Linked DNA regions of Mus musculus. The protein of the gene in region 5 interacts with the protein of the main gene of each other region in a pairwise test. Links are inferred from orthologs where the notes say so. Each region holds a gene or a part of one and is shown on either strand. Other genes may lie near its edges.

Region 1 (4,029 bases), about 35 Mb from region 5:
AGTGCAACGTCCTTTTCCACCGCAGATGTATCAATGTCCAGAAAGAAGTCATCCAGGCCAGAGTCTCCCAGGTACCTTGAGCTCAGAGCTTCTAAGAATACAGGATCAGCCTGGGACACGATCTCATTCTGGGGACTCGAGGAAGCTGCTGGATTCAGAGGCGGCTCCATCTCATCCATGGATGTATCTAGCTCCCTGAGGATGGAACCGATGGTGGTAGATAGGGAGAAATCTTCTTCACCTAGGAAGAGAGGTTCCGGGGGCAGGGCTGGTGCTGGAGCGAGGCGAATGGCAGCCTGGAGCTGCTGGAGTGTGTTGTGGATAAGGACGTGCCTGCGGAGGCTGGGTGCTCTGGGGCCCAGGCTGCGCTGGACTTTGTCCAGAGAGATTCGGAGCAGGGCTTGCTGGTAGCTCCGAAGAGCTGTTGGACTCCAGTCCCACTTCTCCTCTTCCTCCTCCTCTTCCAAATCAGAATGTTTCCTCTTTAAGCCTCCCATGTCCTGTGAAAAAAGAGTGGAGTCAGATACCTTGGGACCTTACTTCTTCAAGCAAGCCTGTGTAGCTATGGGAAGCTTTTGTGTGTGTGTGTGTGTGTGTGTGTATGTGTGTGTGTATCAGAACCTCCATTTAAAGTGCACAGAGAATCCCACAAGGCTAAGAATGGGTAAATTAATGCATGCAATGTGATTGAGAGAACAAGATGCAGATAGGATTGCTGGGACTGGTAAGTGAGTGTGAGGAGGGGTGCACAGGACACAGAGTGGGAGCAGGTAGTAGTGAGGGTGGAGAGACTCCTGTAGCTGTCACCTCCTCTGTATTAAGGAGGCAGTGAGTTCAGATGTTCAAGGTCACCCTCAGCTAGGCAGTGTCTCAAAAATAAAAGGAGCTGGAAAAATTGCTGAGTGGTTACGAGCACTGTCTGTTCTTCTAGAGGATCCAAGTTCGATCCCCAGAACCTGCATGGATGGCTCAGGACTGCCTAAAACTCCACTTTTAGAGGATCCATGGCTTCTTCTGGCCTCCTTTGCCACCAGGCACACAAGTAGTGCCCAGACAAGCATGCAGGCAAAACATCCATACACATAAAATTTAAAATAGGAAAATGAACAGAAAAAAAAATTGCAGATGGTGTCCTATGCCATTAATTTCAGCACCCATCCAGGAGGCAGAAGCAGGTAGAGTTTAATATGGTCAGACAAACCTGTCTCAGAAAAACAAAAAAGCCCTAAAACAAATCACCAAAACATCCGGGCATGGCTTGAGTATCACTTGTCTGTGGTAGGCACAACGTTGAATTTACATTATGGTAATCAATTTTAACATTTGGAAAGTGAAAATCCTAACTCTGGTCTCAATAGATCTTGTTATTGTTTTCCCACAATACTTTTTTCCTAACAGGTCACAGGACAAACAGGTATGGAGCACAGAGTAATGGACCAAACCCAAACTTGAGACAGGGTTTCTCTGTATTGCTCTGGAACTCCCTATGTGGATCAGGCTGTGTCTCGAACTCATATCGTACCGCCTCTTCCTCCCTGAAGGCTGGGATTAAATGTGTGTGAGACGAGGCTTAGCTGGGACGTGTGTGTTTAAATTCTTTTTTTTTTCTCCTTTTTTAACAAGAATATTTCTGTCCGTACCTGCTTCCTACAATTGAGTCTATGACCTCTCAAAAGAGAGGGAGTATTTCCCAAACTCCGACCCAAAGGAAAGCCAGCTAGAGCGAAACTAACCACAAACTGCACCCTCTAGCGACCAGTCCAACCCAATCATCTCTTTTTATAGGCACCACCCTTCCCTGGGTCGCTAGACCAGACCCAAGAACACCTCAATGTATCCTCAGGGCCTTCTGGGAACTGTGGACCCAAAGGCTCCAGGCAGAGCTTCGGCTGTCGCGTTGGAACTACAATCCCCAGAAGGCCCAGCACACCCAAGAGACTGGACACGCCCGCCCTCTCTGAGAGCATGCGTACGGGAGCTCCGGCTGGTGGGGGAAGGGAACCCGGACTTCAGCTGCCCAGCGGCCGCCGAGCCCCGCCCTCTACTGCCTTCGGGGCGGTGAATCCGAGCTCCACGCCCCGAGCGCCCCTCCCCCACCAGGCTTCAGTCAGAAACCTGTTTTCTCTGGGTCCCTATCACCCCAGGAAGTTCTGGATTCTTCCCCAAACTGTCCTCGGTGTGCAGAGGTCCAAATCCCATCACATCGCCCAAAGACGACAAATAACTCTCGGGTACATAGTTCCGCCGGCGAAACTGGATATCCCAATTCTGAGACCTCGTCCCAAATCTCCCCTCATTCGGCTCCACTTTCAAATGACTCTGGCTTTCCAAATACCCAGTCCGGCTCCGAGACCCAGTCAGTGAACTCTTCCCCGGCATTCCCTTCTCACGACGGCGTCTCAGAATCCAATACTCGGTTCCTCTAGTTCCCGGGTTCCTCTAAATGCTTCATATCCTAGCCTTAAAACGCTCACTTTGTCCAGAACACCGTGGAACTCCAAACTCAGCCTATTCTTCGAGACTCAAACTGTCCTACACTCTCCTCCAAAGTTCTTTCTCCGTTTTCCTGGCTTCTCCAAACTCCAACTCCTGAGTAATCCTGCTCCCCCTTCGGTGCTGATGCTGGAATTCAGCCTTCCACCCTCCAATGTCCATCAATCACACCAATCTGCTCTCCACTCGGGATACCCCGCTTCCGCCTACCGTGGGGGCGCGCCCCCGTCCTCCTCTAACTCCAGGGAAATCTCACACAGGCGGCCACTCCTCACCTCGGCTGCCAGGGTCGCCACGACTACCTCCGACAAGCCTGCAGGGTTGGGTTCCACCAGTGCTGGGTAGAAGTCCGGCTCACTTTCCCCGGGCCTCTGGGTCTGGCTGGGGGCCACTCGGCTCCTCCCCGGAGGCCAGTCGCAAGCCAGGATTGGTTGGAATCCTGCCCGCCGCGGGGCGCCATTGGCTAAGAGGAGCCACGGATGCTAGGCCCCGTCCATCACTGGGCCGGGTCCGGTTTAGGTTGGCTACTGGTCAGGGGGCGGAGCGGAGTCTCCACGGTGGAGTCTGGTAACGCCGTCAGAACTGCTACTTTGGACCCAGCTGTGTTTCTCACTCCTCTGTTTCACTGCAGACCCCTTATACCAGACCCCACTGAAGAGTGACACCGGGTGACACCATTCTCCCCTCCCTGCGGTTTTGCAGGCTTGGGGCAGATGGTGGAGGCCACGCCCCCCGGAGTTCCGAAGGCTGGGTCAAACCGGAGGGCGGGGGGGGGGATGACGCACTAGACAGCAGCCAATAGCATGATGCGGCTTGCGTTGCCTGAACGACCGCAGCCCCGCCCCTTAGCTGGCGGAGCTCTGCTTCCCCACCCCCAACCCGTCTTGTAGGAGGAGTCTATGCTTAACCTAGAGGGGTCTGCTGCTTGTTTGGGGGAACCTCCTGGATCCCAGGCAACGCTTTCGTTTTCCGCATTTGTCTGCCTGTTGCTGTTTACTCTTAAAGACTGCTCACAACTCTGGGAACAAACTCAAACTTATTATTATTATTATTATTTTTAGTTTTGGGGATTTAACATTTGAGCATTTTGAACAAACACCGTAGAACTGAGCTAAGATTTAAAATTTTGTGTGTGTGTGTGTGTGTGTGTTTAATTTTGTGATATGGTTTCGTAGTGAAGGGTTAGCTTGCTCTTCACTATTTGGTCTCTGGTACCCTCCTTCCTGTTTTCTAGGACTCACTTTCGGATTCTTTTTGTTTTAGGCAGTCTCGTGAAGCAGGACTCCAGTGTAGACAAGGGCCTTGAAATTCTAATCATGCTTGGCTTCCATATTGCTAGTCCTGGAGCTGCAGGTGTGTCCCTAAAGAAAATTCCTTTTGCTTAGTTTTTGTGGTGTTGGGCACGGAACACCGAGGTGGTGCTAGCCAAAGTACTCTTATCACTGAGCTACATCCCCAGCCACTTTTTTGTTTGTTTTCTGAGACAGCGTTTTGCTGTGTAGCCTAAGCTATTCTGGAATCTTTCATCTTCCTGCT
Region 2 (4,300 bases), on a different chromosome or scaffold from region 5:
GAGGTCAAGTTCTTACTCAAGCAACACCAAGAAGAACCTCCAAAGACACGCAGCCAGGTCCCTGCACTGAGCACTGCACCATGCAGTGAGGGAGCGGTGGGGGACACAGGGCCACACCCTCCTGAAGAGGTTCCAGGAAACCCCCAAAGCTCTAGTTCAACAGTGACCACAACCCAACAGGCTTTTGAGGGTGACCTCCCCCTTGGGGGCAGAGGGCTAAACAAGCCGATGATGAGGGGGCCCACCTGGGACAGCCGCAGGGGCACTCATTCGCCCAGGTGTCGGCTGCGTTCAAACCTTGGGACATGGACATGGACCAGCCCCACAGGCTAACATCGTGAAGCCACAGGGAGGAAGCCCAGGTGCCCTCGGAATCATGCCCAGCCCTCTCTAGCTCCCTATGGGTGGCTGTGGGCTCTGCCCAGGGACTGGCTCTCTGTCCCAGCTGTCAGGAACCCTAACTTAGAGGTGAGACACCACAGGTGCATGACAAGCTAGCAATAGTCCCAAAGTCTCACTATCTCGACAGAATGGGAATAGCCTCCTGCTTCATTCAGGTCAGGGGTCAGGCATCCTCAGTAGGGTGGAGCCAAGCAAGGGTGAAAGCAGAAAGGAGCTGAGAGCCGACAGTGGGAGACACAGCCAACCTGGGGACCATGCAGCCTGCTCCTTGCCAACTGGGCCAAGTTCATCTCCAGGTGACCCTCAAGGTCCCCAAGACTGACTAAGGCATAGATACCATCAGGGTCACTGGACAACCAGGCACATCACTTTAATGCCGCTTTAAAGGGGGGTTTCCAAGGCCCTATTTCCCCATGTTGGGAAAACTCAAAGACCAGCAAAGTCCCTGAGATCTCTATGTCAGGAGGAAGCAGGGAGTCCAGCCTAAGATGATCCAGGTGACAACAGGACAAACACTTAAAGGCTGGTCCCCAAGCAAGAGGCAAGAAGGTCCCCCAGCAAGGTGTCTGAGAATAGAGGATACAAAGTAAGTTAGCATGGATACCGCCACCCTGCCTTCTTAGCTAGGAGCCTGGACACAGCACTGGTAGCACCCCCCAGGCAGGTCTCCCAGGGAGACTCCGGCACCCAGATCTAGCCAGACTGAGACTACAGAAGGAAAGGTACTCGCTCAGGAAGCCGCATCCCTCGATTCCACCTAGCATCTTTTGGAGCACAGACTCCAAGCTGTGAGGAAGCCCAAGCCACACAGAGACCTCACGAATAGGGTTGTAGCCCACACCCCAAAGGGGCAGAGGTTTCAACATTAACTCCTACAAACTGCAACCCACAAAGGACCCCAAGAATTATGAGAGGTCAGAACAAGTGAATACTGAGTTGTCAGAGAGCATTCTCAAGAGAAATGACCCACATCCACACCTAGGCAAGGGCCCCGTGCCCCTGGTGTCCCAGCCTCGCCCCTCCACCGTGGCAGCTAGGACATCCCGAGAGACGGGTTCAGCCTGTCTCCACCCACATGGAGCTAGGACATGGGACAAACAAGGGAGCTAAACCAAGGGACAGGAATGAAGAAAACGGGTGGGAGCTGGGCAGCTGGGGTCAGAGGTGGCGTCCTAGAGACCAGATGAAGTGGGACAACTGACAGGCAACTCTGTAGGAATTCCGACTACAAGAAAGAAACCCAGGGGCTGGATGGTCTCATGAGGACTGCAAAGGATAGGCACAGCGAAGAGGTGTGGCTTAGACTAAGAACGGGACAAGCCACCAGCTCAAAGAGATGGCTGAGACACACACTAACCAAGTAGCTGACACTGAGGACTTCTATGTAACCACTGCCACTTTCATGAGTTCAAAACATGGATGCAGCAAAACACCCTCTCAGTTATAGAAAGGCACCACCAGGTTCCCACTTAAGATGAGGAAACTGAGGCAGAACCCTTCCAAATCCTAGACTCCAGGAGAGCACGTAAGCACAGGCTGGGGAGTCTCCACCACCCATGCCACACAGGGCAGAGCAGCCCAAGAGCACCCACTTGGCCGCCATGCCCCAAAAGGGGTATCGGTTGATCTATCTTGTCTTCAGAAGGTCTGCTTCCCCAAAGGCCCCCTAAAGAAGGAACTAAACCCCTAAGAACCCTCTGAGTCAACCAGCCAGAGTTGTCCAACGGGGCCCCCAGATCCCGACCCTGTGGCCCACGCGCGGGCCTGTTGCTGCCCCAAGCTGCCCCACTCGCGCACTGTGCAGAGTTCCAGTACCGGAGTGGCGGATTCGCAGCGCGTCGCTGGGGGCTGGTCCCGGAGTTCAGCGGCCGCACCCCGAGGTGCAGGTCAGCTCTGGGCTGTGCGCCGCAGCCCCGCACCCGCGGGGAGGCCCGCGCTCTCGCTCCCACAGCCAGACGAACTCCACGCGCGAAACTTTCCGCTCGCAGAGAGCCGCCGACTCCGCGCCCTGCTCATCCCCAACGCGCCGGAATGCGGTCCCCGCGCCGCCGTCCCAGACGCCAGCGCCGCACACCCACCCGGTCCGCGGCGCCCTCCCGCCGCGCGGCCCCGGGTCTCGGCCCCGCACCCGGCCGCCCGCGCCTCGCGCCCCTCCCCCCCGCCCGCCCGCGCATGCGCACCATAGCCGAGATGGGGAAGGGGGGTCGTCGGGCGCCCACGGGGCTCATGCTCCGCCCGGTAATAGTGGGGAGGCTCGAGGCGCTCGGACTGGGAGAGCACGGGCCGGACCAGGTCGACCCAGGGCAGTGTGTGGGAGGGGCCGCTACCCAGCCGCTCACTCACCTCCGCCATGGCCGAGCGTGCGCGCGGGAGGCGGCGGCCGCGCGGGTCCCCGGATGCGGTGCCGCGCGCTTATTGGCGGAGGAGCTGGGAGGCGGAGTGGGGCGGGGCCGCAGGAGGCGCGTAGTAGGTGTGCTGGCGAGGAGCGGAGATCTATAGCCTGGGTCCGGTGTACCCCACGCCCGTACATCAGCCAATCAGCTGATTCCTGTGTGTCCACAGGTGAGGGAGATGGCGCAAACAGGGAACAAGCCACAGGTGAAGAACAGTCTACAAGTGAAGAGGTTCCACAGGTGAGGGGACAATCTAGCAGTGAGGGGTTTGGGTCCCGAAGTGAAATGGGTATGGTCTGGAGGTGAGGGGAAGGTCCAGAAGTGATGGGGAATGGACTAGAGGTGAGAGGGGATAGTCCAGAGATGAAGGGGAGGATGTCTTGAAATGAGGGAGAATGAGATGAAACAACTGACAGGTGAGGGATGGTCTAGGGGTGAGGGGGTGGTCCTGAGGTGAAGGACACTGGTACAGAGAGCAGGGCATGAGAGCCTCCAGAACAGGTGCACAAACCTGACTTTCGCTGTCAGGAGGGTGCAGACAGAATGGGAGAGGCAGACCGGTGGGCAGACCTAGGCTTGCAGAGGTGAAGGCCTCTGGTCTACACAAGTCACCAAATGACTCTTCCTTCCCTCTGGGGCCAGGACCAAGCTGGGAGGTGAAGGCACCACTAAGGTTCAAGCACAAAAGCTGTCTCCCACCCCTGAGGATTTGCCCAAGACAGAAAGTCTGCCCCCTGCTCGTTTGGTGGGTTCATCATTCCATGAACCTGAGTCAGTCAGTCCTAACCCAAAAAGAGAACTGTGACAAGGATCACTAGAGAAAGCCAGGCATGGTCGCCCATACTTGTAACTCCAGTGCCCAGGAGGCTGAGGCATGAGAGTTACTATCAGTTTGAGGCTAGCATGGGCTTTGGAGCGAGACCCTGCCTCAAGAAACCAAGCTACTGGGTATGGTGCCACAAGCCTTTAATCCCAGCACTCAGAAGTCAGAGGCAAACAGGTCTCTGTGAGTTGGAGGTCTATGTAGCAAGTTCTGGGACAACCTTGGCTACGTAGTAAGACCCTATATGTGTCAAGACAAACAACAATAGCAAACACACACAAATTAACCAATTACCAAAGGTTAAGCAATTGGATGAATGGATGAGCAGAAAGATTCTTCAAGGTTAGGGCTTTCTTTCCCATGGACCTGATAGTTGCAATGGGGAACTGAGGTGACCTTTCAGCCAGCTGGGAAATATGAGCATCATTAGGGGAGGTGGACACTCAGCATTTCCTCAGGTGATGCCTAGACAACATCTCTCATCCAGGCCAGAGTTCAGAAACTGTTGACAGAAGTGTGGGCTCCAGACCCAGCCTAAAAGGGAAGGTCCCGCTCAATGGTGAGACTGTGTTCTTCAGAAGTGTCAGAGGAGAGAGAACTGTAGAAGCCTCCAAGTTCCATCAACAACACTCAGTACTTGATAGTTAATGACCCACAAAACAAGGGAAGTGCCACAGAGGCC
Region 3 (4,058 bases), on a different chromosome or scaffold from region 5:
CCCTGACCACTAGGGACCCAGGACCACATATTTCTATCTTAAGAGATCTTCCAAGGTATTCTCTCAGCACCATTACTAAATATAAAAGAAATAATTCCTTAATTAAAATGTGGGGGGCTGGTGAGATGGCTCAGTGGGTAAGAGCACCCGACTGCTCTTTCAAAGGTCCTGAGTTCAAATCCCAGCAACCACATGGTGGCTCACAACCATCTGTAATGGGATCGGGCTTCCTCTTCTGGAGTGTCTGAAGACAGCTACAGTGTACTTACATATAATAAATAATTATTAAAAAAAAATGTGATTTGAAAGCATCTTTTGGATCCAATTTGACTGAAAAACTTTTTCACTTCAATAAAGACTAGTTTGTCTTTGATACTAATTTTATGATCTGTGAGAAACATTTAATTACAATGTATACAGGCCAGCCAGAACTACATCAAGAAACTCTTGTTGAAAAAAAACCAAAAAGGTAGAGCTTTCTTGTGTCTTCAGACACTTTAATATTTAAAAATAGCATATAATTGAATACACGAAGATAATCATTGTGGCATACATACTTAAAAGGAATGGAAGCTTTAAAAAATTAGGTGCAAAATAGTTTGCTTTAAAACAGGTTTTTTTGAGTCTTATAAGTAGATGGTTTCTTCCTTTTCAATAGTTTTTTTTTCTTGATTGCCATTTTGATAAGTTACACTTGATTTGATCTATTTGGTTTAATAGAGTAGTCATTCGTTTAGAGAAATCGAAATCAAAATGAAGTATGGGTTTCTACAGACGAAACACTACTGTATGTAGAAATTGTGACAGTTCATTATCAAGCTGCTTTTTGAGTGGCGTCAGCATCTGAGCGGTGATTTAAAGCCCTTCAGCCAGATCAGGAAATCGATAAAGAGAGAACCGAACAGCAGGAACATAGTGAAGTTTGCCTGTCCCTGGGAAAGAAAAGATTACATGTGATTTAAGAATTGCCGAATCAAAGGGAGCATTAGTTTTGATTAAGGAAAACTGTGTGCCAGCTACCATGATAGATTGGTAAAATATGTGTTCATATACTGTGAATTCAACACTGAAAGCTCTGAAAGACTAATTGGTTTGAAAGGTTTAAGACTGACTCCAAAGTACCAAACAGCCAGACTACCGCAACCTAATTAAAACCTGGGTTGTAGAAGCCGGAAGCTGACTGGGCGGGACTAGACGCTCATTGGCTCCCACCGTCTGGTCTGCACCAGCGCAAACGCGGAGGTCCCCGCCAACCCTCACCCCACCCCCGCACTGTGACGACTGCGCATGCGTCAGTGGTGAGTGGCGGCCACGGAGTGTGGCGGCGGAGGGTCAAGGGATGTTTTGGGTGGGTTCCGAACCGGGTCCATACTGACCCTTGGAGACTTTCCCAGTAGGGGCCTCGTCTCTGCGGGGTCCTTCTTCTTGGACATCTTGAGCCGGAAACAAGTCCTTAGTGGTCCGGTCGGAATGGTGCCTGGGGAAGGGATATATATGCATGGACACGAGGAAGCCTTGAGCCTTAGCATGGGGTTTGGCTGGCCGGGCTGTTCATCCAAACTTACCTTGTTGTGTGTTTGTGGCTTGCTTTCTCTGTGCAAGTTTTATCTCAGGTCATGGTGGGATTTATTATTTTGAGATGGTCTCACTGTATAGCCAGGCTGGCCTCGAACTCAGACTCATTGATCCCTCATTTTTCCCGTGTCACCACACCCAACAATCTTTCTTTAAATAATAAACAGTATTTAGGAAGTGAAGGACTTCCCTCAGGCAGAGACTTGTATGAAAATGAAAGCACACGATTTTTATACACTCGAGATGCACAGGCAGACAGATCTCTGAGTTCAAGGCCAGCCTGGTCTACAGAGAATTTTCCTGGACAGCCAAGGCTACACAAAGAAATCCTATCATTCATTCATAGGTAGATAGATAGAGCAAGTTCTAGGACAGCCAAGGCAACACAACTGTCTTGAATCAATAAGATTACTTAGAGAATATCTGCCAGGCATTGTCATCTACAGAGTTCACGCTCAGGGAACAAACAAGTTGAGAACAATGTCATTTCTAGTGACTGTGGGTGCCTGTCTCTGAGCCGCAGGTTGAGCATACTTGACAGGTCATTCTATTCGCCTACTAGTACAGCTACCCTTCCTGCAGTTTACTAACGACTCTGGAAAGAAACTTTGTTTCATTCTCTTTCTGCTGGCTTAAACTCTCTTGACCTAAATATCTTGGAGAAGGTACTTAGATACTCTGACATACAGTATTGTTAGTTTTTTGTTGTTGCTTTCGTAGATCTGATGCATGGGAATAGAAGTTTGTTTTGATTTTGGGTTTTTTTTTTGGGGGGGGGGTTGGTTTTGTTTTTTTTTGTTTTTCCAGACAAGGTTTCTCTGTGTAGCCCTGGCTGTCCTGGAACTCACTCTGTAGACCAGGCTGGCCTCGAACTCAGAACTCCACCTGCCTCTGCCTCCTGAGTGCTGGGATTAAAGGCGTGCACCACCACGCCCGACTAGAACTAGAAGATTTTTATAGAAATGAAGAATCCCTGCTGCTGCTGCCGCTGCTGACCCTTTCCCCACGGTAGTCCCATCTTCCTGTAACCCCATTTCCATTTTTCCTATCAAGGCAAGGCCTTGACTTTATTTCCCATCAGGTTCTTCCCTGTTGCCCTTAGGTGCTGAGCCACATTTCTGACATAGAGCAATAGCTGTCTTGCCATTTCTTTGTCTCTGGGGTTTCTGGACCTCTGCACTAAGGATATTTTGGACAGATCTTTGAAGTAGAGGGTTGTCCTATGAACTGTAGAAAGTTCAGAGTCATAGCTGACCTTTGTCCACTGGTTGCCAGCAATGCCCTTGATTATGATAACCAAAAATGTTTCCAGCTGTTTGCAAGTCTTTCTCCTAGAAGAAGAGTGACTCCTGGCTCTCCCATGAGAACCACTGATCTAGAATATGAGCCAGTAAACACTCCAGGTCAGTTTAATATGACACAGCCCTTTTCAGACCTGCTTAACACAATTTCACAAACCTACTTAAAAAGCAATACAAAACAGCCACACAGCGTAACACACCTCAGGAGGCTGAGACAGTGGGATCATGAGTTTGAGGCTAGCCTAAGCTACATAGTGAGTTCCAGGAGAGCCTGGGCTACATAGTGAGACCCTGTCTTCTGTATTTCTTCTCCCCCACCCCCCTCAATATGGTTAGTAATGACAGGAACTTCTGTCTTCCACCACTACCTTAGTAAATAGAACTTTACCAAGCATAGTTCTCACACAGAGAAGTAACCACTGTATAATCTTATGGCTTTTATGAACTTTTTTTAATCTTCACAGTTTTGACCTTTATTTAAATGAAGTTATTTATATTTTCTTCGAGGAGTACTAGGGATTAACCCTGTGGTTTTGCACAGGCTAGCAAGCACTCTGCCACTAAGCCATAGCTCAAACCCTTAATATTTTAAATTTTATTACAGTATATCACTGAGTTTTGTATATGTATATTCATATTTCTGTATACATGTGTATATAGGATAAATAGATTTTTAGAAAGAGGACAACGAACTATGATGGGCAAGAGTGCTATGAATGCAAAAAATGAAAACAATTTAGCCCTTTTTCTGGAAATAAATGGGATTAAAAAATACAGCAACATATAAAAAAAATTTTACACTCATGATCCTCACCTAAGAAATTTTTTGTCACATAGGCATAAAAAAAAAATCAAATCAAACATTTACTGATAGTAACCACACATTTTATTTATTTTTCATTGAATGCGTTTGGGTGCTCTGCCTGCATGTATGTACATATGTGTGCCATGTGTGCGCCAAGTGCCTGCTAAGCCCAGTAGAGGGCATGGGTCTCTGAAACTGGAATTGCAGGTGCCCGTGAATCAGCATGTAGGCACTAGGAGCTGAGCCCGGGGCCTCTGCATGAGCAGCTGTGCTCTTAGCCACTCAGTCATCTCTTTAGCCCCTGTTAGCTTATTTTAAAGCAATTCTTTGGTGTATATGTAATTTTATTATTAAACATAAAGACAGATTTGCATACC
Region 4 (3,500 bases), about 38 Mb from region 5:
TGAACTATTTCCATGAGTTTCCAGAGGTTCAACACTTCAGTTTTTACACCATCACCCCCTTCCTAAAGAAGTAAGGGCTACTCAAACAGGAATTTGTAAAAGAATATTTTATTTGTCCTACTTTCTAAATCTGTTGTATGTGTTGAGATCAAGGTCATTATGTTTTAGCTCTATAAACATGTCTTAAATCATCCCTCAAGTCATACTTTTACCTGGATTGTAAATCTTTTTAGGAATCATGAGATTATCATTTGCCTCATGTATCACTTGTAAAATTCCATACTGTAACACATTTAACAAACTTTTGACATCAAGAAGAAGAAGAAGAAGAAAAAGAAGAAGAAGAAGAAGAAGAAGAAGAAGAAGAAGAAGAAGAAGAAGAAGTAGTAGTAGTAGTAGTAGTAGTAGTAGTAGTAGTAGTAGTAGTAGTAGTAGTGAGGGCTACAGGCAGGCACCGCTGTAGCCAGCTCCTGATTTTAGCAGTTCTCACCACAGCAGCCTCCCTGGGCTGTATCAGTTGTGTCTAGGTGAGATAATTCTTTCTTGTTTTGTTCAGATTCTATGACAAGGTACTTTCTTTGCACGAGGACTTGAAGATCCCTGTAGTGAATCCTCTACTTGCCTTCACTCTCATCAAACGTCTGCAGTCCGACTGGAGGAATGTGGTACATAGTCTGGAGGCCACTGAGAACATCCGAGGTAATGAGGATGCTTGTGAAATACGGGGGAAGCTTCTAGCTTCTGATTCGGTGGTAAGGAGGGAGACTCCGTTGAGTTACAGTGACGATTAGCAGAGCAGACAGAAACTACCTGAACTTCTAAGCTCCTTTAAGTCAATCGAGTTAGTCCTCTTGCTAATAGGTGTATGATTTTAGATAACAGGACACCTTCACCTCCATTACCTCACTTGATCGTCACTACAATCAAGTGAAGAAGTGTACTTCCACCCAGTTAAATGCGTGTATTTGTGTACCTATGTATGTGCAAAACATCATGGCCTTCCAGTAGTTTCTGTTTCAAGTTTCTAAATTTGAAAGTTAGAATACTGTAATGTGACCTGTAAAGAAATCACTTTCTAATTCATTCTATCTTGCACTATAAGAAGTTGGTTAGTTTGGGGCAGTTAAGAAGAAAAAGAGTTGCCTCTTGCTAAAGGGAAAGATTATAGATTCATGGGGTGGAGTGATACGACCAAGCCGTGTACCTTATTTCTTTTTACTTCCTCCATGCCATTGTTCTGAATGTCCTTCATCCAGATTATCATATCAAGCATCTACTCTGGAGGGCTGGAGAGATGCCTCAGTGGTTAAGAGCACTTGCTGCTCTTCCAAGAGGACCCAATTCAGATACCAATGCCTGCATCCCAACAGCTCACAACTGCCTGTAACTCCAGCTCCAGGAGAGCCCATGTGCTGCTCTTTGTACCCTCTCAGGTTACCTGGGCACGCTCACACACACACACACACACACACACACAAGCGCACACACTCACACACACATATACACACAACACACATGTATCCACTCATGCACACACATTCATGCATGCACATGTACACACACATGCACACACAAACACACACAATCTTTAACTAAAAGAATCCATTGTGTCCCAGGAGATGAGCTTGCTGCTGAGGGCTCTTTGAGCAGGTGGTCAGGTCTCACATGAGTGAAATGCCCATTGCCTGTGTTTGGAGGCGAGGGTCACAGTCTTTCTATTTTTACAGCTCTGAAGGATGGCTATGAGAAGGTAGAGCAAGACCTTCCTGCCTTTGAGGACCTCGAGGGAGCAGCAAGGGCCCTGATGCGGCTGCAGGATGTGTACATGCTCAACGTGAAGGGCTTGGCTCGAGGCGTCTTCCAGAGGGTCACGGGCTCCTCCATCACCGACCTGTACAGTCCCAGGCAGCTCTTCTCTCTCACAGCGGATGACTGCTTCCAAGTTGGCAAGGTGACATGCAAAGAAGTCCAACTGCTCGATTCTACTTTCTTATGGATGGACTGTGTCTCAGCTGTCTTTAGGTATTCCCTTTGCTTGAGGTAATGACAGGGTAGATCACTAAGACTGCATTGCAAAGTAGGAGGAGCTAAATTGAACCCCATCTTTTAGCTTCCCATGCTCTTGCCATAGGGATGAGAAGTCATCATATACTTAGGGCACAAGAAAAGCTTTTCTTTTCTTTCCAACAGGATATTGTGTATCCCAGGCTGGTGTTAAACTTGCCAGGGTCTTCCTGCCTCTACTTCTCCAGTGCTGGGATTACACCATGCCCATTTTTGCAGGGCTAGAAATCAAACCCAGGGTCTCATGTGTGCTTAACCAAGCACTTGAGCAACTGAGATACATTGTTTGCACACAAAATGGCTGGCCAGGCTGATAGACATGAACTAGGCAAAAACCATCAAAATTTTTTTGAAATTCTAACTATAAACCCTACAGTATCTGAACTATGGGTGGAAAGCAGAGAGAAGGGTAAACAGGAGGTTCTAGATGGCGATGTGAAGGTAAGATCACAGAAAGGGCCTGTGAGATGCTCTGGAACCCTTTGCTTTGTTCCCCAAGTCCTTAAAAATATCCAGCTAAGTTAGTGTAAAACAACCAAGGCTGTGCACCGCGATGTTACCTGAGGAAACAGACTTCAGGGATCGCCCATAGGTGTATGTAGCTGATTTTTGCTCATACTGAGTTGTTTTATAACATACTCTTTCCCAGCCTTACCTTCAAAGGTATGTGGTAATTCTTTTCCTTTAGAAGATATTTACTGCAGGAAAGTGTTATTGGTTTTTTTCCTTCCTACCCCTACCCAATGTTCATTAACAATGTGCTCCATGGTCCTAGTTCCAGGCTTGGGGAATCAGTCTCCTAGACCTACACAGAGTGGGTTCTCTGCTTACTGCTTCTCTCTCTCTCTCTCTCTCTCTCTCTCTCTCTCTCTCTCTCTCTCTGCAGTCTTGAGGAGCAGAGCAGGAGTCCTGCCATGAGCATGGCTAGTTCAACTAGTTGAGTGCACAGTACCAGTAAGTGCTCACTAATGGAGCCTCTTGGCCGTGTATTGAAAACCATAAACCATATGCTGAAAATTTTGTAAGCCAACTTCCTGAAAGTCTTGCTGCAAATCTTTATTTATTTGAAAGACAATGCATTTCAAATGTATCTGTATTTATTTGAAGGATAATGAATTTCAAATGTAAAGGTGGTACCTAGGACAATATCAAAAGCAGTTTTATCTATCTATTATCTATCTATCTATCTATCTATCTATCTATCTATCTATCTATCTATCTATCTATCTCTCTATCTATCTGTCATGTATGTGTATGTGTGTATACAGTTATATCTATAAATGCAGTGAAATTCATTTTCAATTTGGCTATATTAATTACACATTTTTCCTTCCTCCTACCATGTCACCGCCACCCAGGTCACCAGTGTCCTCTCCCTGCAGGGCATTATCTTCTGGGGTCAGCTTCCTCACTCTGCAGTTTATACTATAATGCAT
Region 5 (3,359 bases):
GTGATGAGAAGGGCTAAGGAATTCCATTATTTCAGAACAAGAAAGATGATCAAATCTAAGGACTTCTGGCTTTGGAAGCTTCAACAATGGTCATTGTATAAAGGAGAGTTTGAGGAAATATCAGCTTTAGATGACCTCTCGATCTACCTTTTTATTTTTGGACACCAATATGTTGCATCTTATTCATGAGAGACTGTTAGGTATCGAAAAGAGCTGCATTTAAAATATATTGGGAAAGATTTGGATGTGCTCCCAACATGGAATTAGTCATTTGTGAATGACATAATTTAAGAAGTAGAAGATTTCTTATAAACGCAGAAGATGCAGTGAGCAGGGCAAAAAGGTAGTGGGAAAATATGAAAAATACACTGTCATAAAATGTGTATTAATAAATATGTTGATCATTTTCCACTAGAATCTTAACGGAAGCTTTAGATGAAAACAAAGTGACCTAATAGAAATGGAGAGCCCAAATCTATAGTTATTAAAATAATTCAAAACCAACAAACTGAGCATCCAATGATGAATGAATGCATATATATATATTTTATATATCCCTCATTTTCATGTGGGGCCTGGGGGATTTAAATTCTGGTTCTCATGCTTGAACTGCAAAAGCTCTTAACCACTGAACCAAGTCTCATTTTAATTAAAATTTTAAACTCCCATCAATTATGCTATATGAATCTACTACTTCTAGAACATTCAAATCTCACATGGATTTATCTCCAGTGTCTGTAACTACACTTTACATTCTTCCTTGTTTGATCTGCATTCAGATATGTAAGAATTTATCTCTATTAATAATTTCTCAATATTCCAATCTTAAACAACTCATCATCATCATAAGGTACAGCTTTCCAAAAGAAAAAAGAAAAAAAAGTCATTTCTGTTTCTCTTATTCTTTTGTAGAAAAACCAAAATCAAGAATTAAGTCTTTCTCCAGGACCTTCACATTTAATTTGATTTTGCACAAACTCAGTGTGTCCGAACTTAACTTCACCATCTCAGCTACATCTTTCTCCTTCAACTTGTTTCTTTCCCTACCATCATCTAGTTCTGTGCCATACAGGAGACCAGGAAATCTTTTACATAAGCCTAGTGGTACCCTCCCTTAGACCCCAGTGGTTGGGCTTTGCTGCTTCGCTCCTTTCCAGCCCTACCACCCTTCTGGCTTCCCAACACGCATGCGCAATATCGCATCAGCCCCGCCCGCCCGCTGCTGCGGAAGGCGCAGTGCTCAGTAAAGCGCACTTCCTCTGCTGGTCTCCACCGAGGGAGTGCCCGCTCCAAGAGCTCCAAGCCGCATCGGTCCTGCTCTGATCCGAAGGCGCAGACATGTCGGAACAAAGTAAGGACCTGAGCGACCCTAACTTTGCAGCCGAGGTCCCCGACTGTGAGATGCAGGACAGCGATGCCGTTCCGGTGGGGATCCCTCCTCCCGCTTCTCTGGCCGCTAACCTCGCAGGGCCACCGTGCGCTCCCGAAGGCCCTATGGCAGCCCAACAGGCCTCGCCACCGCCCGAAGAACGGATAGAAGATGTTGACCCTAAAATCCTGCAGCAGGCCGCAGAGGAGGGCCGCGCCCACCAGCCCCAGAGTCCAGCCCGGCCGATCCCAGCACCGCCAGCCCCTGCCCAGCTGGTGCAGAAGGCGCACGAGCTCATGTGGTACGTGTTGGTGAAGGACCAGAAGAGGATGGTCCTCTGGTTTCCAGACATGGTGAAAGAGGTCATGGGCAGCTACAAGAAATGGTGCAGAAGCATCCTCAGGCGCACCAGCGTCATCCTCGCCAGAGTGTTCGGGCTGCACCTGAGGCTGACCAATCTCCACACCATGGAGTTTGCCCTGGTCAAAGCCCTCAGCCCAGAGGAGCTAGACAGGGTGGCGCTCAACAACCGTATGCCCATGACAGGCCTCCTGCTCATGATCCTGAGCCTCATCTATGTGAAGGGCCGCGGGGCCAGAGAGGGTGCGGTCTGGAATGTGCTGCGCATCCTGGGGCTGAGGCCCTGGAAGAAGCACTCCACCTTCGGAGACGTGAGGAAGATAATCACCGAGGAGTTCGTCCAGCAGAATTACCTGAAGTACCAGCGTGTGCCCCACATCGAGCCTCCCGAGTACGAGTTCTTCTGGGGGTCCAGAGCTAACCGTGAAATCACCAAGATGCAGATCATGGAGTTCCTGGCCAGAGTCTTCAAGAAAGATCCCCAGGCGTGGCCTTCCCGATACAGGGAGGCTCTGGAGCAGGCCAGAGCTCTGCGGGAGGCTAATCTTGCTGCCCAGGCCCCCCGCAGCAGTGTCTCTGAGGACTAAAAAGGTCCAGGGGCACACTGATAGTTTCTGACCCATACTAGGGCTGTGTAAGGGTGGGGTTGAGTCATTAGAGTATCCCAAATCCACAGTGCAGTATTTCATGTATAATTTTTAAGTTTTCCATACAGTGCTTTTGTACCTTGTAATGCTATTCATTTGTGTACTCGTGTAGTGTTTAAGATTGATGCATGTGTGATAAGTATTTGGTACTTTCACTTTTGTGCTTTCGTGCATTTTTGTACAAGAGATGTGCTGTGCTAAACTTGTGAAATACATTGAGGTGTTCTGTATCTTGTTCTTTGTATGGGACTGATGATCTGTATCGACAAAGAAGGCCCTGGAGAGTTAGCAGGACTTAACAGCAACGCAGACCTGAGCAAGAGAAAGGTCAAGGCCTTTCTCCATATGACTTCAACTGGCACAGGAAGCATCCATGTGGAATGGACTGATTTGAACTGGACTGTTCTCAGTGTAGGCACTTAGCACCCTTTACAAAACATGTATGCAACCCCACCATAAATAAACGTTAAAATGAGCATTAAAGATACTGTGAAATAATTTCTTGGGGGGGGGGAGGAGGCATTTATTTTTGATGAAAGGGGGAGTGGGAATGGGTGGGGATGAGAAAGATTCTCCCTGTGTGCAGCATAAGCAAACACGGTGTCCTAACACAGTGGGAGACCACACGACCACTCAGAAGAAACTTGCAGTGCTTTAATCAATTTGTCACATAAAAGGTATAACAACAACAACAAAAAAGCTCATTATCACATAACATGGGGATAATAACAGGTATATGGAGGGCCTGCCCCTTTTCTGTTGCATTTTTTAAAATAGTCTTTGATGGACACTTTAGCAGAATAAACCCTTATCATGCATTTTCTTCTTTATTTTGTCCTCCCACCAGCCATAAGAAGTAAGGAATAACTGTATCATCACAGAGCAAGAAAAAATAAAAGGGGTGTTGGTAATGAACTATCCTAAAACCTTTATACAGGAGTCTTGACACCAAGCTCCCCATGGCCACCACTCACACACGCACT
Region 6 (4,226 bases), on a different chromosome or scaffold from region 5:
GCACCTGGGCCCTCAGCTCCTCCAGCTCTGTCTCTGTCAGGCTCAGGCCCCGATGCTTGCCCATTGAAAGGGAGCCCAAACTGCCTCCTTTCTCTACTTGCTCTTCTTCGACCTCTTCCTCTTCCTCCTCTTCCTCCTCCTCTTCCTCATATAGAGCTGGAAGTAACACCTCCCCTAGGAGAGACAACCATCCCACCACACAGTCAGTGCCCAATCTAGAACCCTGCACCTTACCTCCCCAGGGCCTGGTCTGCAGAGTAGTGTCACCTGGTGTCCCCCGAGGTTCCCTGGGTAGAACCTAACTCATGGTCAGGCTCTGGTAGGTCAAATTTGGATGCACCTTCTCCAGCTTCCAAACGCCTAATATTGGACGTCTCCTGCCTGTCCAGCAGCCTTGTGCTGGCTCAGCTACAAGAAGCTTGCATGAGGACACCTGGCTCTAGTAGTCTGAACTCTGGGTAGTAGGACAAGGAGTTAAGAAAGGATTCAGACATTCAGACACCAGCTGTTTATGTAGGCCAAATGAAGCAAGCTTGGGGGAAAAACAACCTAGGTGGCTTGCAAGGTATTAGCCGTTTCATAATAAGAAAACACTGGCTTGGTCTGTAGATAGAAGAGGAAACATTAGGCGGAGTTGTTTACTGCATCCATTTTGGAACCCTTTCAAATGCATGTTGTCAAATATCTTTTTGAGGTTTTTCTACACCTGTTGTTTCCCTGTTGGGTACCACAAGGATCATCTCTTTCCTTCTGACCCAAGTTGATGTTGAGAGTTGTCAGGCTGAACTCATCTCAAAGAAAGTCTGCCATCTTAACACACTCTTCTAAACCACTCATTTATTTATTTACTGCATACGGGTGCTCTCCCTGCATGTGTGTCTGTCCATCATGGGAGGGCAATGCCCTTTCAGGTCAGAAGAGGGTATTAGAGCTTCTAAGACTGGAGTCACAGACAGCTGTGGGCTGCGATGTGGGTGCCGGGAACTGATCAATTGCTAAGCCATCTCTCCAGTCCTGTTGACACATTTGAAAAACTAATTTGGTACTGGTCCTCATGTTCAGACTCCTGAACACCTTTTTTTTCTCCTTCTTCTTCTTCACTGCAATGCAATCTTGTCTTGGTAGGGATTGCTTTGTTTTTAATCCTGGGTCTCTGGCCTTCCTTCCCTTTTCTAACACCAACAGCATACGGTTCATCTGAGACCCCTTATGTCATCTAGTCTCTAGGGAAGGCCTGTGCTGAACTACAGAGGGGCCTGGGGACACTTCACAAGAAGTCCTGGATAATGTGTTGGTACTGCCTGCCCTGTTACACGCGAGTGCTGTTGGGAAATAGACTCCATCTAGCCCTCTCCTAAGCACGTTCTTACTAAAGCTGCAGGGTTCCATTCAGAGTTGACGGTGGTGGCATCAGATAGACAGTTCTCATGCCCATGTCCTGGCTTTTAAAAATAAGAGACAGCTTGGGATCTGGGTCAGCAGGCAGTGAGAAGAACAAGCCCCCTGCCGAAAGCCTGTTTCCAGGCTGGGTTGAGCAGGGCCTCTCTCTGTCTGGCAGCTTCCCGGGACACACAACCTGGTTAGCTGGGTGATTGGCGCCCCAAAGGGATGTGCCCAAACTTCCCACAATGCCTGAGCCCAGGGGAGGCTTGGAGCTCAGCCACCAGGGAGGAGGGGCCTGAGATGAAGTGAGGGGAGGGCCCTGTTCTGGCTCAGAGTTCTGGGGTCAGGGAAGGAAGAAGGGAGCTACGGAGTAGGGCGATAGAAAGCCTTTTTCAGAAAACTCACCGTCCATAGCTTGCATCCCACGGCGCTCCAGAGACCCCCAGCGTTGGCCTTTCTTCCTCTCACAACCCTCAGATACCTCATAGGAGCCTAAAGTGGTTACTGTGGGTCCTGTGAGCCGGGAGAAAGTAAGAACTGTAGGAATAGAGGGGCCTGGGGCTGAGGGGAAAGAAAGGGACGTGCATTCTTATATGGGAGCCCCGGAATTTGCAATCACACTGGAGAAGCCTGACTCACTCTGCCCAGCTCTGTGATTCTATTCCCTCAGCCACCTCTCATGCCTATGGAGGGGACCCCAGTCCGGCGCGGCCCAACCTCAGCACCCCTGTTCCCGGCTCCTCTCCCTCGCTCAGACAGAAGAGGGTGAGTGTTTGTTTAGCTTGGGGCATAAGAAGAGGGGTAGGGTGGGAACTAGGAAAGAAGGTTTTGGGAGGATCCTATATAGCAAAGCAGAGAAGGGAGGGGTGGCCGGCTCAGGAGAGGAGAGAAGGGGCTCTAAACTAGGCCGTTTCTCTTTCTCTCCCCTTCCCTCCCTCACCAAACCTCGCCCACCCCACCCTCTCCCGGTGGTCAAGAGCTTTGATGAACTAGAAGGGTGCAGGCTCTAGAGACAACTCCCCCGCCCCCCTCGTGAGCTGGAAACACAATCGGGCTGGAGAGACTAACTGGGGAGCGCTTGGGGAGTGACCGCTGGGAAGGGACAACCCAGGTCGAAAGATGGAGAGCAGTATCCGGTGGAGGCCAGGGTGAAGGGAGCCGACTCAGTACCAGGAGCACCTGGGGGTCAGAAGGAAGGAGAGCCGTAGGGGGAAGGAGCATAGGGAGCTGAGAGAGAGGCCGCTCTGACCTGGGCCAGGGCAGCTCCAGCCCGCGGCTCCCGCGCCGGCCCCGCCGCCTGCCTCCATGGCTGCTCCCGCCGCCGCCGCCGCCTCCCGAGCAGAAGCCGCAGCCTCCGGGCCGGGGACCGGGAGCCCGGTGCGCAGGGAGGAGAGAGGGCGGGCCGAGAGGGCGGGGCCTGGCCTGGCCACCTGACGCGAGTGCCCGCCTGTGGCCGCCCGGAAACCCTCCCCCAGTCCCCGGCTCCAGACCCAGTGAGGACCAGCAAAAGAGGTTCAAAACACGTCACTAAAGTGCCCCAGGCTCGTCCGAGGCAGCTTCAGGTCTGCTGCGCCTGAAAAGCGGACGTGAGCTACCGGGTCTTGAGGATGCGCCCAAGGAGTGCTAGCATGGCTTGGTTCTGGCTGCAGAACCCACCCTGGGTCCGCCACGCCTAGGGACCTCAGGGGCTAGTCTTGACGGATGATAGAACCGGGGGGGGGGTGGGGGTGGGGGGGGATGGACTGTTTCCTGCAGATGCGCAAACACACGCGCACTTCCTTGGTTCCCACACAGAGCCAGCGTCCCCATCCCCGCAGTCCACAGAACCCATCCCTCCGGGTAGCCTCAAGCGCCCCAGAGCTACTGCAGGGCTGGCGGATAGTTGAGACCTGCATGTGCCAAGTGCTAGGTGGTGGTACATCACTGCTTTCCCCGAAATCCCACCCAGCCAGAGCTCTCCTCCCAGTGTACCAAGTCCCTCTTTCTTCCCAGCCCTTTGAGCCACGCCCTCTGTGACCTGTGCAGTGTGGGCATCATTGATGTTCCCTGTAACAAGAAATGTGGGAAACCACGAAGCTTTTTTTCAACTTTTCATCTATTTATTCAAGAGATGAACTTGGTCTTGAGGCAGATTTGACATCTCAGCAGGTCTCATTTAGGTCAGAAGTGGATACTCAGGAATCTGCTCCCCGAGTTATAATCGTGGAGAGATTTCTAAGCTTGGTACCTCACACCAGTTCTTTCTCATGTATTCTCACTCCTAAAGTTTGGGCATGGCTTGGCTGGGTTCAACTCCCCAGGCTACTGGGCTCTCAAGCCCTCCATGTTCCTCAGGAATGAAGCAATTCCCTGCACATCTCAGGCTTATCAGTAATTTCAGCATTGTGTTGAGAGTTACTCTCCAGACACCCCATCCCTTCCTTTTTTTAGACTCTCCTGCTGTGCTCTTCTGACCCTCTGGGCAGCATCAGAGTATTGCCTGCTGTTAAGGTTGGGAAGTATCCTAGTTATCTTTGTATCTTCAGTATCAAAGTACCTGACTCATGGAGTAAATGAGTAACATGGAGCTTCCGACTAAGTTAACAACGCCTTCATCATTTATCCCAGATTTTTAACTCATGAATTTAAACTCACGTTCCCTATTAACAATGATGTCTGCCAGGCAGTGATGGCTCACACCTTTAATCCCAGCACCTGGGAGTCAGAGGCAGGCGGATCTATATGATTTAGAAGCCAGCCTGGTCTACCGAGTTAGTTCCAGGACAGCCAAGGCTACACAGAGAAACCCTGTCTCAAAAACCAAAAACCAACAAAACAAAAAAGTCCAGAAGTCAGTAGTAATT
Region 7 (3,242 bases), on a different chromosome or scaffold from region 5:
CTTCTGGGATTATCTATTCACAGCCAGTAGCTCCTGAGAAAATAAAACTAAAGCTGATTCCCAGAGCCACTGTTCACCCATCTTCTCCCTCAGGAGTTTGCAATTGGTCCCTTGGGTTCTAGTGTTGGCCTAGGTTAAGCTCTTGCGGCATCTGGTGCTCACAGATCATCACAGAGCATCGAAGGCTGGGCTTGGGGCCCCTCAGCCTCTGCTCTGTAGCGGGGAGATGGAAGGGAGAGAGAGTCCCTACTGGGTCTTTTGATGCTTGGCTTCACGTATCCAAGGACCTTGAATATGTGTGGCCCTGCCCTCCAGACTCAGTCTCCCTGTGGTACAGCTGGGTAAAGCAGGGTCCCTGGGGGTGGATCTTTGCAATATCAAGACACTCCAGGCCTCTCCAGTGTTTTGTGTGTTGGAGGTGGGAGCCTTTCCCAACCCCTCACACCTTTATCCAGGGCTCAGCAATGTACTTTCCCCAGGAAGACCAGGTCAAGTTCATCTGGGATTAACACACTACTTTAATGTCACCAGAGAACCCTGTGGGAGAGGGAGGGGGTGTGAGGGAGGACACGTGGGTCCTCTTGGCTGGGAAGTGGGGCAGGGCGGGGGGTGGCGGTCACAGAGGAACCAGGTAAGAGAGGAAGGACAGACAGACAGTCCAGTGACTAGAGAGAGTCCAGGAGAAACAGTCCCACCTTCCAGGCAGATGCCCAGACTGAATGGGGCAGGCTGAGCCCAGGTGGAGGTTGGCTCCCCAGACCCCCCTCCAAACAATCTTTCCATGGTGTCCTCCTGGGGGCCCGACTGTCAGCTCTCCTGGGGCTGGTTGCCCTGGTGTCTGCTTAGAGTCCTGGAGCAGGCTGTGAGCAGGTCCATGGAGGCACTGAGCGGTGCACAGGAGTAACAGCCAGCCTCCTCACCACGATCCACCCTGTGTTTGTACGGAGGAGTCGAGAGATGCCCCGTGGTACAGTGGTACAGCTGGGCTCCCAGCAGGGTGTGCAGACAACGGACTGGCCATCTTGCCTCAGTTGTAAAACACTTCATCTTCCTCTTCTGAAAGAGAGCCACTGTCCACCGACGGCAGCGAGCCATGCAAGTGGGCCCTGTCATCGAGCCCCTGGGCCCCTGGCAGCCGCTGCCGGTGGTGCTGCTGGGTGGGGCTAGGGGGTTCCTCTGGTGAGGGCCAGCCATCATTCAGGGTGAGGCCAGGAGAGCAGGCTAGGAGACTGTCGTCCTGTGAAGGGCCGCTCAGGAGGCTGTCCTGAAGGTAGATGCTCTCGAGGTCTAGAAAACCAAATGGGGGTACAGGGGAAGAGATGGAATTCTGTGCCTGTGCCCTACCTCCCAGGGTGCGGGAGACCAGGCCAGGGTGAGGAGGCCTGCAATGTCACTGTTAAGCTATGCGACCTCAGGTGGGTCTCCAAGTCTCTCTGAGCTCAGTTTTCTCCCTATGACGGACGGAGCAGAGATGATAAGAGCAGGAAGTGAGTATTGGGACAAGAGGTTCTCTTTCTGGTCCTCTGTCCCCTACACTCCCAGTCATAGGGAGAATCATGTGAGAAGAGCTAAGGGACGCTTCATTGGGACCCAGGTTTGGGAAAGCAGCACCCAAAATCCACCTAGTGCCTGCTCAAGCTGCACCCCACCCAGTCTCTCCTTTCTGATAAGCGCAGCCCCTGGGAATGTTGGAGCCAGAGCTGCCAGCCCCAGGTAGCTGGGGAAGAAGGGGGAGGAGGAAAGGAAGGAACCCTGCTGAGAGTCCTTGGCGTCCCTCTGAGGGCTGCTCCACCCACCCTGCCTTGTCGTTCCTGCTGTACCTTGGAGCTGGAAGGCACCCTGGGTACTGTCCTCGGGCTGCAGTTCTTCGTCATCCAGAGAGGACCAGGCACTCAGAGTGGCCTCCGTGATGGCAAACTGCTCAGCGACCCCTGGGGGTGGGTGGAGTGGGGGCGGGGCAGCAAGATTAGACTCAGTGAGCACAGGGGTGGGAAGGGGGCGCTCTATGCCTCCATGGGCCTCTCTGAGCTGTGAGAGAGGAAGCCACCGAGTGAGTGCCCCGCCCACCATCCTGCGCGTTTACGCGTTTACCGCAGGTTCGCTCAGACCCCGCTTCAGGCTGAACACCCAGCCCGTGGCCTCTCTCTCCGTGACCCCTCACTCACCCGCAGCAAAGCGCGCCTCGCGCAGCTCGTCCGGGAGGCAGCAGTAATGTTCGTCCTCTGCGGGGGACAGCTCCCAGCCTGACTGCTGGGCGCTCCAGCCTTTCCACTCGATGAGGTGGGCCACTCGGCCACGGGCCATGGCCGTGGGCTTTGTGATGTGGTCCTTGATGCTCTGCACCACCCCTGTGAAGCCATGGATAGCTGTTCATGGGGTGGCCGTCCCAACGTAAGCCCCCGCTCGTGACACCCAAATACCTCAGACCATCCTGTCACCACGACCAATTCTGCTCTGTGCCATCGCAGTCTGATGCCCTCCTTCACGCCATGTCCCGCCCGTTTGTATGCCCCCCTCATTCCCAATGTCTTATTGAATCTGGATCAAGTTTCCCAAACCAGCCACTCCTTCCTCCGGCTGGCCATGTGACTCAGCCCCTTCCACTCATGATGAACAGCTCTGTGGATTGAGACTCTAGTGAGTGGAGGTGCATCAGGGAGTACTACCTGGAGGAGGTGACCTGGAATTGGGCTCTCTGAAGGCCTATTGGGGTGGGACAGATGGTGGCCAGGCTGGCAGAATTTCAGAGATGAGACAAGGTTAAAGATACAGACGTACTGGCTCAACACCATACAACCAAGGATGGGACACAGGGCAACTAGAGGCTGGGAGCCTTTCATCGGCCAGACAGGGACTAGGGAGCCGAGATGAAGACTTGGTGTTATCTCTACAGCAATGGAGAGCCTTGGTTACAACATGGCCAGACAGGAACCAGGGAAGACGTAGGTTAGATCTGTTACTTGGGATATCAGTTGTATCCCAACTGAAAGACTGAAGTTCAAGGGTGGAGATGGGAGTTGGGGCAATCAGAGGCCATGGTAGGGAGCCAGGTCGAGACAGGAGAAAGGCTGGGGAAGCTTATGAGCTGACTGGCTGGATATGGAAGGGGATGGAGACAAGGAATCAACAGCCCAGCATCTCCACTAACCGAGGTAGGGAACAGATCCGGGCATCCCCAGGACCCTTAAAGCCGGGCTTAGGGGAACCCAAGCTCCAATGTCAGATGAGACCGTCACAGGAAT

Evidence for each region.
Region 1: the proteins of Ndn (region 5) and Sertad3 interact in a two-hybrid assay, tested with the Homo sapiens proteins (2 studies listed by BioGRID and IntAct). The link is inferred for Mus musculus from reciprocal best matches to the Homo sapiens genes NDN and SERTAD3.
Region 2: the proteins of Ndn (region 5) and Mier2 interact in a two-hybrid assay, tested with the Homo sapiens proteins (2 studies listed by BioGRID and IntAct). The link is inferred for Mus musculus from reciprocal best matches to the Homo sapiens genes NDN and MIER2.
Region 3: the proteins of Ndn (region 5) and Eef1akmt1 interact in a two-hybrid assay, tested with the Homo sapiens proteins (2 studies listed by BioGRID and IntAct). The link is inferred for Mus musculus from reciprocal best matches to the Homo sapiens genes NDN and EEF1AKMT1.
Region 4: the proteins of Ndn (region 5) and P4ha3 interact in a two-hybrid assay, tested with the Homo sapiens proteins (2 studies listed by BioGRID). The link is inferred for Mus musculus from reciprocal best matches to the Homo sapiens genes NDN and P4HA3.
Region 6: the proteins of Ndn (region 5) and Ccdc136 interact in a two-hybrid assay, tested with the Homo sapiens proteins (2 studies listed by BioGRID). The link is inferred for Mus musculus from reciprocal best matches to the Homo sapiens genes NDN and CCDC136.
Region 7: the proteins of Ndn (region 5) and Fam131c interact in a two-hybrid assay, tested with the Homo sapiens proteins (2 studies listed by BioGRID and IntAct). The link is inferred for Mus musculus from reciprocal best matches to the Homo sapiens genes NDN and FAM131C.

Annotation. Positions count from the first base shown.
Region 1 is NC_000073.6:27,472,611-27,476,639, reverse strand, and holds the start of Sertad3 (SERTA domain-containing protein 3), read right to left. Parts: upstream 2,801-4,029; 5' UTR 2,769-2,800; intron 501-2,768; 5' UTR 498-500; coding exon 1-497.
Region 2 is NC_000076.6:79,552,329-79,556,628, forward strand, and holds the start of Mier2 (mesoderm induction early response protein 2), read right to left. Parts: upstream 2,801-4,300; 5' UTR 2,755-2,800; coding exon 2,746-2,754; exon of another isoform or gene 2,631-2,745; coding exon of another isoform or gene 2,583-2,630; intron 2,570-2,582; exon of another isoform or gene 2,218-2,569; intron 1-2,217. UniProt on the Homo sapiens protein: Transcriptional repressor.
Region 3 is NC_000080.6:57,568,783-57,572,840, reverse strand, and holds the start of Eef1akmt1 (EEF1A lysine methyltransferase 1), read left to right. Parts: upstream 1-1,258; 5' UTR 1,259-1,298; intron 1,299-2,916; exon of another isoform or gene 2,917-2,978; intron 2,979-4,058. UniProt on the Homo sapiens protein: Protein N-lysine methyltransferase that selectively catalyzes the trimethylation of EEF1A at 'Lys-79'.
Region 4 is NC_000073.6:100,292,020-100,295,519, forward strand, and holds part of P4ha3 (prolyl 4-hydroxylase subunit alpha-3 precursor), read left to right. Parts: intron 1-556; coding exon 557-699; intron 700-1,727; coding exon 1,728-1,951; intron 1,952-3,500. UniProt on the Homo sapiens protein: Catalyzes the post-translational formation of 4-hydroxyproline in -Xaa-Pro-Gly- sequences in collagens and other proteins.
Region 5 is NC_000073.6:62,347,070-62,350,428, forward strand, and holds Ndn (necdin), read left to right. Parts: upstream 1-1,207; 5' UTR 1,208-1,338; coding exon 1,339-2,316; 3' UTR 2,317-2,859; downstream 2,860-3,359. UniProt on the Homo sapiens protein: Growth suppressor that facilitates the entry of the cell into cell cycle arrest.
Region 6 is NC_000072.6:29,395,149-29,399,374, reverse strand, and holds the start of Ccdc136 (coiled-coil domain-containing protein 136), read right to left. Parts: upstream 2,801-4,226; 5' UTR 2,691-2,800; coding exon 2,633-2,690; intron 1,897-2,632; coding exon 1,789-1,896; intron 450-1,788; exon of another isoform or gene 341-449; intron 175-340; coding exon 1-174. UniProt on the Homo sapiens protein: May play a role in acrosome formation in spermatogenesis and in fertilization.
Region 7 is NC_000070.6:141,381,433-141,384,674, reverse strand, and holds the end of Fam131c (protein FAM131C), read right to left. Parts: intron 2,349-3,242; coding exon 2,166-2,348; intron 1,932-2,165; coding exon 1,821-1,931; intron 1,288-1,820; coding exon 1,028-1,287; 3' UTR 501-1,027; downstream 1-500.